2 separate regions of the Mus musculus genome follow, and region 2 is reported to be linked to region 1. Evidence: microRNA targets listed by miRTarBase, many of them from high-throughput screens and not tested one by one. Region 1 holds a microRNA gene; the other region holds the end of a gene's coding sequence.
Evidence for each region. Region 1 holds the annotated microRNA mmu-miR-466i-5p (UGUGUGUGUGUGUGUGUGUG, at 3,613-3,632, shown strand). A microRNA usually pairs through its seed, bases 2 to 8, with sites in the 3' UTR of a target mRNA and lowers its output. Matches are read on the target gene's strand: a 7mer-m8 pairs with bases 2 to 8, a 7mer-A1 pairs with bases 2 to 7 and ends in A, and an 8mer does both.

Region 2: the mRNA of Jarid2 is a reported target of mmu-miR-466i-5p. Seed matches in the 3' UTR shown: 7mer-A1 at 2,041-2,047, 8mer at 2,042-2,049, 8mer at 2,044-2,051, 8mer at 2,046-2,053, 8mer at 2,048-2,055, 8mer at 2,050-2,057 and 7 more.

The regions. Positions count from the first base shown.
Region 1 is chr3:85,463,770-85,469,821 of GRCm38, forward strand. Mir466k (microRNA 466k) reads left to right here and starts at 3,608; the gene lies at 3,608-3,729. The region is part of intron 1 of Gm31419 (a long non-coding RNA gene); the gene reads right to left.
Region 2 is chr13:44,918,344-44,922,677 of GRCm38, forward strand. It overlaps Jarid2 (jumonji, AT rich interactive domain 2), which reads left to right. Exons shown (of 18, transcript NM_001205043.1): 18 at 1,457-3,300. The coding sequence ends at 1,609. It overlaps Dtnbp1 (dystrobrevin binding protein 1), which reads right to left. Exons shown (of 10, transcript NM_025772.4): 10 at 3,736-4,111. The coding sequence ends at 3,864. Among named protein-coding and RNA genes, the nearest start is that of Dtnbp1, 82 kb to the right of the region's middle.

The DNA.
Region 1 (6,052 bases):
CTGAGCAGTCAGAAACTGGGTAGTAAGAATGAATGCAAGACAGGAGTAGTGACTCACACCTGTAATTCCAGTGTGCTTGGGAGAATGAGGCAAGAGGACTGAGTTTGAGATTAACTTGGATTCCATATATAATGAGCTCTAGACTAACCTTGGCTACAATATAAGACCCCGTATGAAAAAAATAATAGCAGGGCTGAGAAAATGGCTCAATATTTAAAACAACTGCCCTGCAAGTGTAGGGTCTGGAGTTTGACTCCCCAGAACCCACATAAAGTTTAACACATCAGTACACATCTGTAATCCCAGAGTTCCTCTGCAAAGATAGGCAATAGAGACAGGAGAATCCCAGAGGCTCACAGGCAGCTACTCTGGCAAACAATAAGAAAACCTTAGACAAGGCAGAAAGTGAAGATGGAGAGTGGAGGTTGTCCTCTGACCTCCACACATGTACTGTGTGTATAGGCACCTACACTCACACACATAAACATGCATGCACACAGCAATAGTAGTAAAGACACAAGAAAGAATTGCAAAGCACCTGGGAAGGATGGAGGAAGAGGTTTGCTGTTGCTGTACCCAAGAGCACTCTGAATTCTCTGTGGAGCTTGACAATGGAAGAATCAACCAGGAGTTGGTTGCTCGTATTACACACACACACACCAGCATAGAGCCATTAGGGCAGTCCCTAATCTTATATTAAGAAGAAATGTGGACCCAGACATGTGCAGCCCATGTGAAGACTTCAGAAGACAGGTACCTACAAGCCAAAAAGAGAGGCCTCAAAGATTCCTCCTCATAGTCCTCGGGAGACAGCAGCCCTGCCAACACTTGTGCTGTTACTTTGAGCCTTCAAGATTATGAGTAAATACCTAATGTTTAAGCCGTGTGATCTGTGATGCTCTGTCACAGCATGCTAGTAACATGAAATCGCCACTCATTATTTAAAGGGGTCATAGGTGTTGCTGTGAATCAGTGTGATCTGATTCCCCTTTTCAAGTGTGACTCTGGTTGACCCAGACTACAGTCCATGTAACACCCCGCACCCCCCACCCCCCGGGACAGTGGTTTTAATTTCTCATCTTGAGCATCAGGTCTTCCCTGCAGCCATGGAAAGATGAAGGACAGAGGGACAGGAGACTAATGGTAGAGTAGGGATACAGAAGGTAGGTTGTTCTTCCTCCCATTCCCATGCTCCCAGAAATAAGACACAGACTCAAAATATGTTTACAATACCTTGGCCATACAGCTAGGCTCTTCTCTAACTAGGTCAGAACTTAAAATAACCCACCTATGCTCAACTACATTTTGCCACATAGCTGGTTACCTGTGCTCAGGTACCAGGTATCTGTCTTGTCACATCTTCCCCAGTGTATCTCCCACCTGGCACTATCCCAGAATCCTTTCTACCTCACAGATGTCCTACCTCCTATTTCCTGCCAAGTTATAGGTCATCAAATTTATTACTGACAGTTGCCACATGCATACAGACATAAGATATTTTCTCCCCATAGAGATTAATTAGAAGTCAGGATCAGGATTATATTACTCTCCTAGGGTTCCTCCTTCCTCAAGATTTAGTTTCTATATGTGCACAGTTTAAGCAGGCACAGTCAACTGACTATGAAAGCAGAGACAACAGGAGAGAAGACGAGTCCAGGGCTGGAGACTGGATACCACTGACTTCTGCTTCTACACGTGGAGCAGATATATACAGTATCCTTGAGGCAGAAGGAGACAGACACTCTCATCCAGGGATATAGCTGACAGAGAAGAGACATCCACCCCCATACACACATCTCATCCCATCGTCTCTAACATCTGCATACTTGCACTTCACAGCTCACAAGTCTAACCTTCCCAGGTAACTGGCCCATTTGGGTCTGGTGTACCTTCAATCTCTCTTTTTTTATTTTCTTAAAAGAAACATTTGAGAGCTGAGCATCTAAGATGGCTTTGGATTCACACCCACTGTCTGTGGAACAGCTTGAGGCTGACAAGATTAGCTCGCTGGAACGCTCTGGGATCCGTTCAGCCTAAGCTGCTGCCCACACACCAGCCTTGCTCACAGAAGCTGCTTTCCGCAAGCAGCAGCCCGCTTCACCTCCTCCATCCTGGCTCGTGGAACTGGTCCTTGATGTCCTACCTGGTCTTGAGGACAGTGGCTTCCAGCCTCAACCAGTCCTCATTCCCAGATTCCAGGATGTGACCATGGTGATGTCTCAGCCTCTCCAGAGGAGTCCGAAGGGTGATACTTCTGTCCTTCCTCCTCCCATGTCTAATCACCTGATTTTACAGAACCCAGCATAGCGAGCAGTGCTGCAAGCTTCCTTCCCCTCCCTCGGCTCTCTTCTTCTGTCCCTTCTTTCTGTAATATCCAAGGGGACCAGACAGAGTGGGCCTTGATAACACACATTCCCTTGGCTCCAGAGCAGTAGCTTCTAAAACCTGTAAATAAGACAGCTCTATGCCCCTGTGTAGACATACACCCCAAGGATAGGCTGGCTCCCTGGTACCTGTCCAGAGTTGAGAGTTCAAAAGACAGACCAGTGGATAGAAATGCTATCATGCCCACCCACCCCCACCCCGCCAAGCAAGGCCTGCTGGCTCATGTACCTGGCCAGACATTACATGAGCAACGGGCAGTAATTGTTGTCTAATCTCTTCCCAGAGGTTTCAACTAGTTCCAAACTGTTGTGGCTAATAAAAACAGAGAAGATTTGCAAGAAATTCCAGGTGCATCGGAACACTTTGGGGGATTGTGCAGCCTGCAGGCAGACGAAACTTAACTCAAATAAACATAAGGTAATATGTGTTGGCAAAAGTAACCTGAAGTGGGAGTATACAACTGTACGTTTCAAATTGGCTGCTGCCTGTAAGGATGGAGATTGGTAGTAGCTCAGAATGGATGAAGTGGGCAGAGTAGCCAATGTGCATCCCAGAATAACCGAGGCAAATCAGATCTCATCTCACACAGACCCCATCAGTGGCCCAAGATGGAGCACATGACAGATTCCGCAGTCCCACTTTCTACTTTAAGGATGAGGAGACATCGTGGAGTGGCCTCCAGATTTAGGGGTCTCCTGTGAGCCAGGAATGTGTGGTCATGTTCTCAATGGAGCGAGTAAAAGAAAGTGTCTGTTTTTGTTCATTGAAGTCATTGACTCCAAGCCCTGGAAGCTGCCATGTTACCTCCATCTGCTGCCTAACTCTCAGGGCCACATTTAGATAAAGAGCCGAACTTCTGAACTGCAACAGCCCTGGACTTCAGTCAATTCCCTACTTTCTTACAGAAAAGAAAATATTGAAAAGCTGTATTATGGTGTCTTATATGAATGTGCTAGTTTCCAGGATGGGAGGGGCTGTATATTCACCTATATTCACACACATATACATGTGTGCATGTGATATACATTCATGTACACCCTCCTATAGAAATAAGTGTATGTGTGTGTGTGCATGCATATGTGTATATGTGTATGTATGTGTGTGCATATACACATGGGTGTGCATGTGCATGAGTGCATGTACGTGTATATGCATGTTCTCTATTGATATGTGTGTGTGTGTGTGTGTGTGTGTGTGTGTGTGTGCAGGTGTGTATATACATATATATGTGTGTGTGTGTGTGTGTGTGTACATGTACATGTGAGTATGTGTGTGTATATGTTTGTACATGTGCATGTGTGTGAGTATGTGAATATATGTGTATATGTGTGCATGTGCATGTGTGTGTATGGTGAGTAGGTGTTACTAATTGTGACTCCGATGGCTGTGTCTCCATCTGGCCTAGGTGACAGGTAAGCAACTGCACTGATCTTTCACAGGTAGCAGCAGCCTTATAGGGCAGGAGAAGACTGGCACCTCTGCACTGGCCGTGACCTTACCTGCAAGCCCCCGAGGAACAGGAGCTTTTTTACTCCTCCATCTTCTGGCTTCCCAAGCAGGTGCTGATATCTTGACAGGGAAGGGGAAATGCTCTGTCCTGGCCCTCTTGCCTCACAGAACTAAAAGCTAAACATGGCTTCAACTACCTCAGCGGCTTTCTTCTCCCACAACCACATGCAGTAGAGAGGCCCAGCGCTGCAGAATACATCTGTGATAGGAGAGGAGAGCTTGGATCTGGAATGTTCTAGAAAGTGATGGAATAATTTGAAATCCAAACTGTCTAAAGGCTGAAGAAGAAAGGAAGCCATTGCCACCTGCAGGAAGCAGCCAGGTCCTTTTGACCTCTCAAAGTTCTTGGCTGTGAGGTTCCATCATTCAGCTGATAAAACAGAGGAACAAATGTTACACAGGGAAGTTCACAGGAAAAGGGTCAGTACAGAGTGTGCAGAGCTTCTGGTGGTATAAAAGCCAGTCACTGAAAACTAGGGACATGTCCTCAGTCCTTGAGACCTGAAGTCATCTCTTCTCTTCTAAGCATCCATTATACCCAGGATTCCACAGCCCTAGGCCTTCTGGAAACAAACTTCATTTCCCCAAAAATTGTCTGCTACCCTAATGCCACCGGAACAAGTTTTTTAGCTCTTGGGTTATAGCTCAATGATGAAACACTTGCCCAGCATATACAAGACCCCAGATTCCACCTCCAACAACAACACAAAGCACGCCAGTACATCTCAGCCTGTGCAGAGGCTCAAATTTCGAAGGAAATAGGAAATAGATTCATTCATTCATTTAGTGACTCTTTCTCTTCTGCTGTGTATGAGACGCTGTGTTAGGCAACACCAGAAATAAGGTAAAGATTTAGCAGGTGACCACAAACGAGAAAGTGCAGTGCGTTCTCCACTTTAATCAGAGCAAGCCAGCAAATAAAATGTTCTAGGCAGTTTGTCTTGGCACCAGCCACAGGAATTTACCTGTGACATCCTAATAAAGAGGACACTGAGACATGACATCCACAAGGACTTGATTGGCTCTCCTGGAGCTGATTGTGCACACCAACCCCCAGGAAATAAGGCCAGGAGGTCTGTGGTGAAGCCTGAGTGTCCACGGTCCAACTGGGTCCTGGGTAACGTGGAAGCTGTTGTGAGTCTTGTCCTCAGAGACATGTATATAGAAAGACTCTAGTTCACCTCACTCTACTGAGCTGCATCTTAGGAAGGGCAATTAAATCCTAGCTATCACCCTGCAGCTGACAGGGCACACACACACTGCCAGCTCTCAACTAACTGGTCACACCCAGGGTATTTTCAGGCTATTATTATTATTATTATTATTATTATTGTATCTCAGAATATTTATATGAATAGCAGAGGAAAAAATATTTATTTACTTCCTTTTAAACATTTTTTTTTCTAAGTCTAACTTTTCATATTGTTGGGAGGCTACAAACTCAAGATTGTTTCCAAGGGATACCTGGAAAGCTAGGATGTCACCAGAATGTAGGACCATCTGCTACAGCAGATACTACTTCCTCCCTTGAGCTGAGAGACTTGGAAAGATTGACCCCAATTAAGAAGATGGGGGAGCAGGCAGGATGAGGAGGGAAGGAGGGAGGTTTTAGATAATGCGATGGTGTATCTAAAGCCACTGATTCGGGAAGAAACAGAGAGAGAGAGAGAGAGAGCACACCAGATCCAGCTGGCCTCTAGCTCTCTTTCCCTCCACCCAGACTGATATGTGTGAGCTGTCCTCTCTCCTCCTCCAGTTGTCTGCACAATGCCACCGCTCAGGTCACCCCATGTCACTGTTTCCTTCTGCCCTTGCCAGGGCCCACTGTCTCGCTAGTTCATTTCACTGCATTTAGCACCGACAGTGACCCACAGAAGAAAATACAGTAGAGGACACAGCCAATACGAAGCCCCAAGGCAGGAACAGCTGCTATCATGTAATCAGTAAGGGCAAGAGGATCCAAAAACAAGCCATTAGAGAGAATGCCACGAGGTGGGCCCTCGAGAGTGCTTTGGAGTCTGTACCAGTCATCAGTTGCTGCATGGCAACCACAAACATCCAGTAGTGCCCACCAAGAAGCCTGTTGTTTCCACTGCCCAGTAGTGCATGGATAAGGGCAGCTGACCTTCACAGCCTCGGTCCGGGGCCTGAGAGCAGA
Region 2 (4,334 bases), not on the chromosome of region 1:
ATGGCAGTAACATAGCTTCTTTGGTTCCTACTTTGTCACATGAACAGTAAATGTCACAATGTGCTTAATTAAAATTAAATCTCAGCAATGAGTAGGAATTACCATCTGGCATCCTGTCCCATGTGCTTCTTCCAAAGACCCCAGCCAGGACCCAGAGTTGGCAGCAGTGGTCAGGGCCAGGGAGTGTAAATCTGTGCACATGATTAGGACTTCTAAAAGTGCATTCTACAAACTGAGCACTGGGGTAGGAAGCCACATCTTACTGGGACCAAAGTCCTGAAAGAACAGGAGCACATCTGGAAGCAGCCTCTCCCTCTGCCAGAGGCTTGCTGTTGTAAAGGGTCAGCACTAGCCCTCAATTGTGTTCAGCTGGGTGGACTGAGAAAGGTAGGATAGACACAAGCTCTTAGTTCAGTCCTTTTCATTCCTTGTGCAGCCCAATGACAGACACACAAGGGGTTCCAGGCCTGTTCCTCCCACACCCCTATGCACTGTGAAGCTCCCAGGAAGAGCAGGGCTCCCAGACCTGAAGATAGACAGGCAAGGCTTTCACAAAGGAGCTTGTTTTAAGGAGGCAGGGGACTATGTCACATCCTTCAGCTGTTTGTAGGCTTTTTAGAGGCAGAACTTGACTGTGTGAACCTGGAGTCTTGTGTCCAGGCTGCCTCCATTCCTCACTGCTGGTGTTCTTGCCTATGCTCTCTTGTTTTTGAGACATCCTTCCTTTGTGTCCCTGGCTGCTCCCAAATATGTTCTGCTAGAACCTCTGCAGAACTGTGATTCTACGTGTGTGCCACCACACCCAGCTATGGATACCTTTTAGTAGAGAGTTGCACGGTCCTCTTGGGTGAAATAAAGGGATATAGCTGACCCATTTCCCCCTCTAATGCAGAGGTCACACACAATGAGTCATGTGAGCTGCTGATGTCACATGCTGGAGAACTTTAGCATAGCTTCAATCTGTAATGTCTCATATTTGGATGCTGTTGTTAAATTTCTGGATTTTTCTTGTCATGTTGGCTCTCAAAGAGGGCCTGCTGCCTCAGCTTCTACCCTACCTCCAACTATCTGAAGCAGTTTCAGGAGACAGTCTTCCTCCGAGTGTGGAGGCATCTGTTTCTCTTTTGCAGGACAGGCATTTGAGTTCTTTATGGAGAGTTATATACATGTGAATGCAAGCATACTAGGGGCCAAAAGTGTCAGATCCCCCAGCGGTGGTGTTAGTTTTAGTGGCTGCTGGGAGCCCACAAGGCAGAGAGGTATGCACGGTGCTCAGCAGTCTCGGCAGCCACAGGACTTTCCTTAGGTATCTCCCTGTCCTGTTCACAAGTCCTCTGCATCTCTGAATCCTAAAGCTATTTAGAAAGCCTGCTAATGTCCAGTGACACACACTGATAAGTCATAGGATTTGGTGCCTCTGCTGCACTAACTTAATGTTGTCTGTCTGTCCTGGCAGGAGCAGATCATCAGTTTGGTCAACCAGATATGTGGCAAAGTGTCTGGCAAACACGGTGGCATCGAGAACTGTCTCAACAAACCCACACCAAAAAGAGGTCCCCGCAAGAGAGCGACCGTGGATGTGCCGCCATCTCGGCTCCCATCCTCATGAAGATGCCGAACCCATGGTCACTTATATATTTTTTGTAATTACTATATTCTAGTTTGGAGTACTTGCTGTAGGATACAAGCTGTCTTTGCACTAGCTCTAAAGAAGAATTTCTTCTGGTTTTAGAGAACTGATTTTGTTTTAGCATTAAACTGTTCAAGTTTTTGTACGTAGATATCTAGATACTGCAGTCAGGTTTGGAAGCTGCCGTACACTCACTGTCTAAAACCCTTGAGGGGCTGTATTAATTTGTATCGCCCCATGGCTGTGAAATGCCTTTTTTTTTGTTTGTTTGTTTTTGTTCTGTTTTGTTTGGTAACTGTTGAGGAATAAAGGCTTTTTAACCCATTTTTGAAGATGGTGAAGTTTGGAGAACAAATTTTAAAACCATCAGTCAGATGAGATTTTTCTAGATTGGAAAAGGGATAGAAGATACACACACACACACACACACACACACACACAGAAAAAAGAAAACTTGAAATGGCTTTACTTTGGCTGTCTTTTCTTCTGTCATGTGCGAAGGGAGTTTGTAACTTTTGGAACCGGAGAGCCCTGTTTCTTTGGCTGGGCGGTTATGGCAGCTGAAGGCAAACTGTGAGGTTTGAGTGACGAGGTTCTCATACCAGCACATCACTATGCATCCGTTCGAGGGAGAGAGAGACAAAGACAAAGACTGCCTGCCTTGGAGGGTCACTGAGGGAGACCTGTGCCTGATTTCATTAGGAAATCCATTCTGTTATTTTTTTTTGGTGCTGTTGGCTACTTTATCAAAAAAACAAAAAACAAAAAAACAAAAAACCCTTCAATAGCATCCTTGAGGAAAAGGAACAGCAGTTGACTGTAAGTGCTTCCCTGTCATCCATGTGCAATTTCCCGACATTCCACCTCCATCTCTGCTTGTGTCCCTCACATCAGCATTAATCTTTGTTTCCCTCACACTTAGAGCCACTAAGTCTGCAGTTCTTTTTGAATGTGAAACACATCTGTGCTCCTCTTGTCTATTTTTTCTCTTCATGTTTTAACAAAAAAGAAAAAAAGAAAAAAAATCCCATCCCTTTTGTACATACTCCTGTAAATTGTTTTAAATACTTGAGCCTTTTCTTGGAGGGGGAGGGAAGGGGTGAGAAGATGGAGAAAAGCCTTACGTTTCCGTTTCTTCATCGGCTGATTGGATGCTTACAGGGTTCTCTTGTGACATGTATAAGTGCTGCTTACATCACTCAACAGCAACAGAACGTGGTAGTGGAGTAGCTGTTGCCCTTCTCCGGCTGTGTGTACAGTATGTGTGGAATAAAAAAGGGAAACTGTTTTCACAAGCTGTTGTTTGTTTCATAATTGGATCAGTCCATAGCTACCCACATTGCACTGAGCTTGCCAGTGGTGACTGCCAGGAACGCCTAGGATCCACTTTGGTGGCTGTTGTTGCAGAAGACTAAACTGCTTTGGACTATTTAACGATTGCCTGACAGTCGAGTGTTTCCAATGTGGTCGTCCAGTTTCTATGGCCTTGCTGTGGACTTTCCCCTCTTTGTCGGTAACCTTTCGCCTATGGCTTACAGTTCGACATTTAATTTATTAGCGCTGCTCTGCACCCCTCCTGCCGGGAGGCTCTGTGTGGTTATTGCCAGTTCTTTGTTTACTTTTCAGGTTTGTACTACAAGGTTTAATAATAAAAAGTTTTTTGGACATTTTGTCTGTCTTGTGGGAAGGGATTGGGCTTTCTTTGGTCAGTGGGGCAGGGGCTACACATCCTCTCTTAGGCCAGGGAGCGGAGCTACAGAGGCATGTCCGTGGCACTGCTCACCACTCTGGGCTGCAACTAGGCTAGCTCATGCCCTGGGGACCTTGGGGAAGCAAGTTTCTTTCCCAGGTTGTCACCTGATGCTAGGTAAAATTAAGTTCTTCAGATCCCAATTTGACCACTATTGGTTATGCTAACAGACTCTGCCTCCCAGTATGGTAGGGCACGGTGCCCACATAGCCTGGCCTAGGTCCTATTTCCTTCAAGGCCCTCTCCAGCAGACCTCCACACCTGTGTTTCTTTAGGAACTCTTGGTCAATCAGCTCTAAGCACCTGTCAAGGCAGGGGCCTCTATACGACCCATATACTCACCAGCTGCACAGTGTTTATTCCATAAGCTTTATTGTGAGCGCTTCTCTAATGGTTCTTACATCCCATTAGCAAGTGTGTAAAATTGAAAACCTCTAAGCACCTGGCTTTGCAGGAGGATTCTGCGCACAGCTGACAAGTCACTTAAATGTCCTGAGTTGAGTCACACTGGTCACTGTCATCACTGACACCTGGGGTGGACTTTCTGTCAGTGTGTAATGTGACCAAGGCCGTGTCCACCTGTACCTCCTCCTCATCAGACTGGATGAGGGGGGCATCAGCAGTGTCCAGGTCAGTGCAGGCAGAGGGTGAGGCAGGTGGCTGGGATGCTGATTCTGAGGGACTTGGAATCTGAAGACTCATTTCATTCTGATTGGGGTTGGATTCCATCTCTGTTGAAGAAAGTAGAAAAAGCCTCTGATTGCATTTGGGAACTGCCATTGAGGACAACTGCCCGAGATCCTGTCCCTCAGCCTAGTTGTAGGGTCCACAAGTTACCTGACCACCTATTCTATTCTGTGGTAAGATGAAGAAGTCTTTAAAGCCATGTAAGGTTCAGTTCTAAACACATGGTAAAAGTTAGCCACCAATCCTTGATACCCTAGCTCCTTCAGT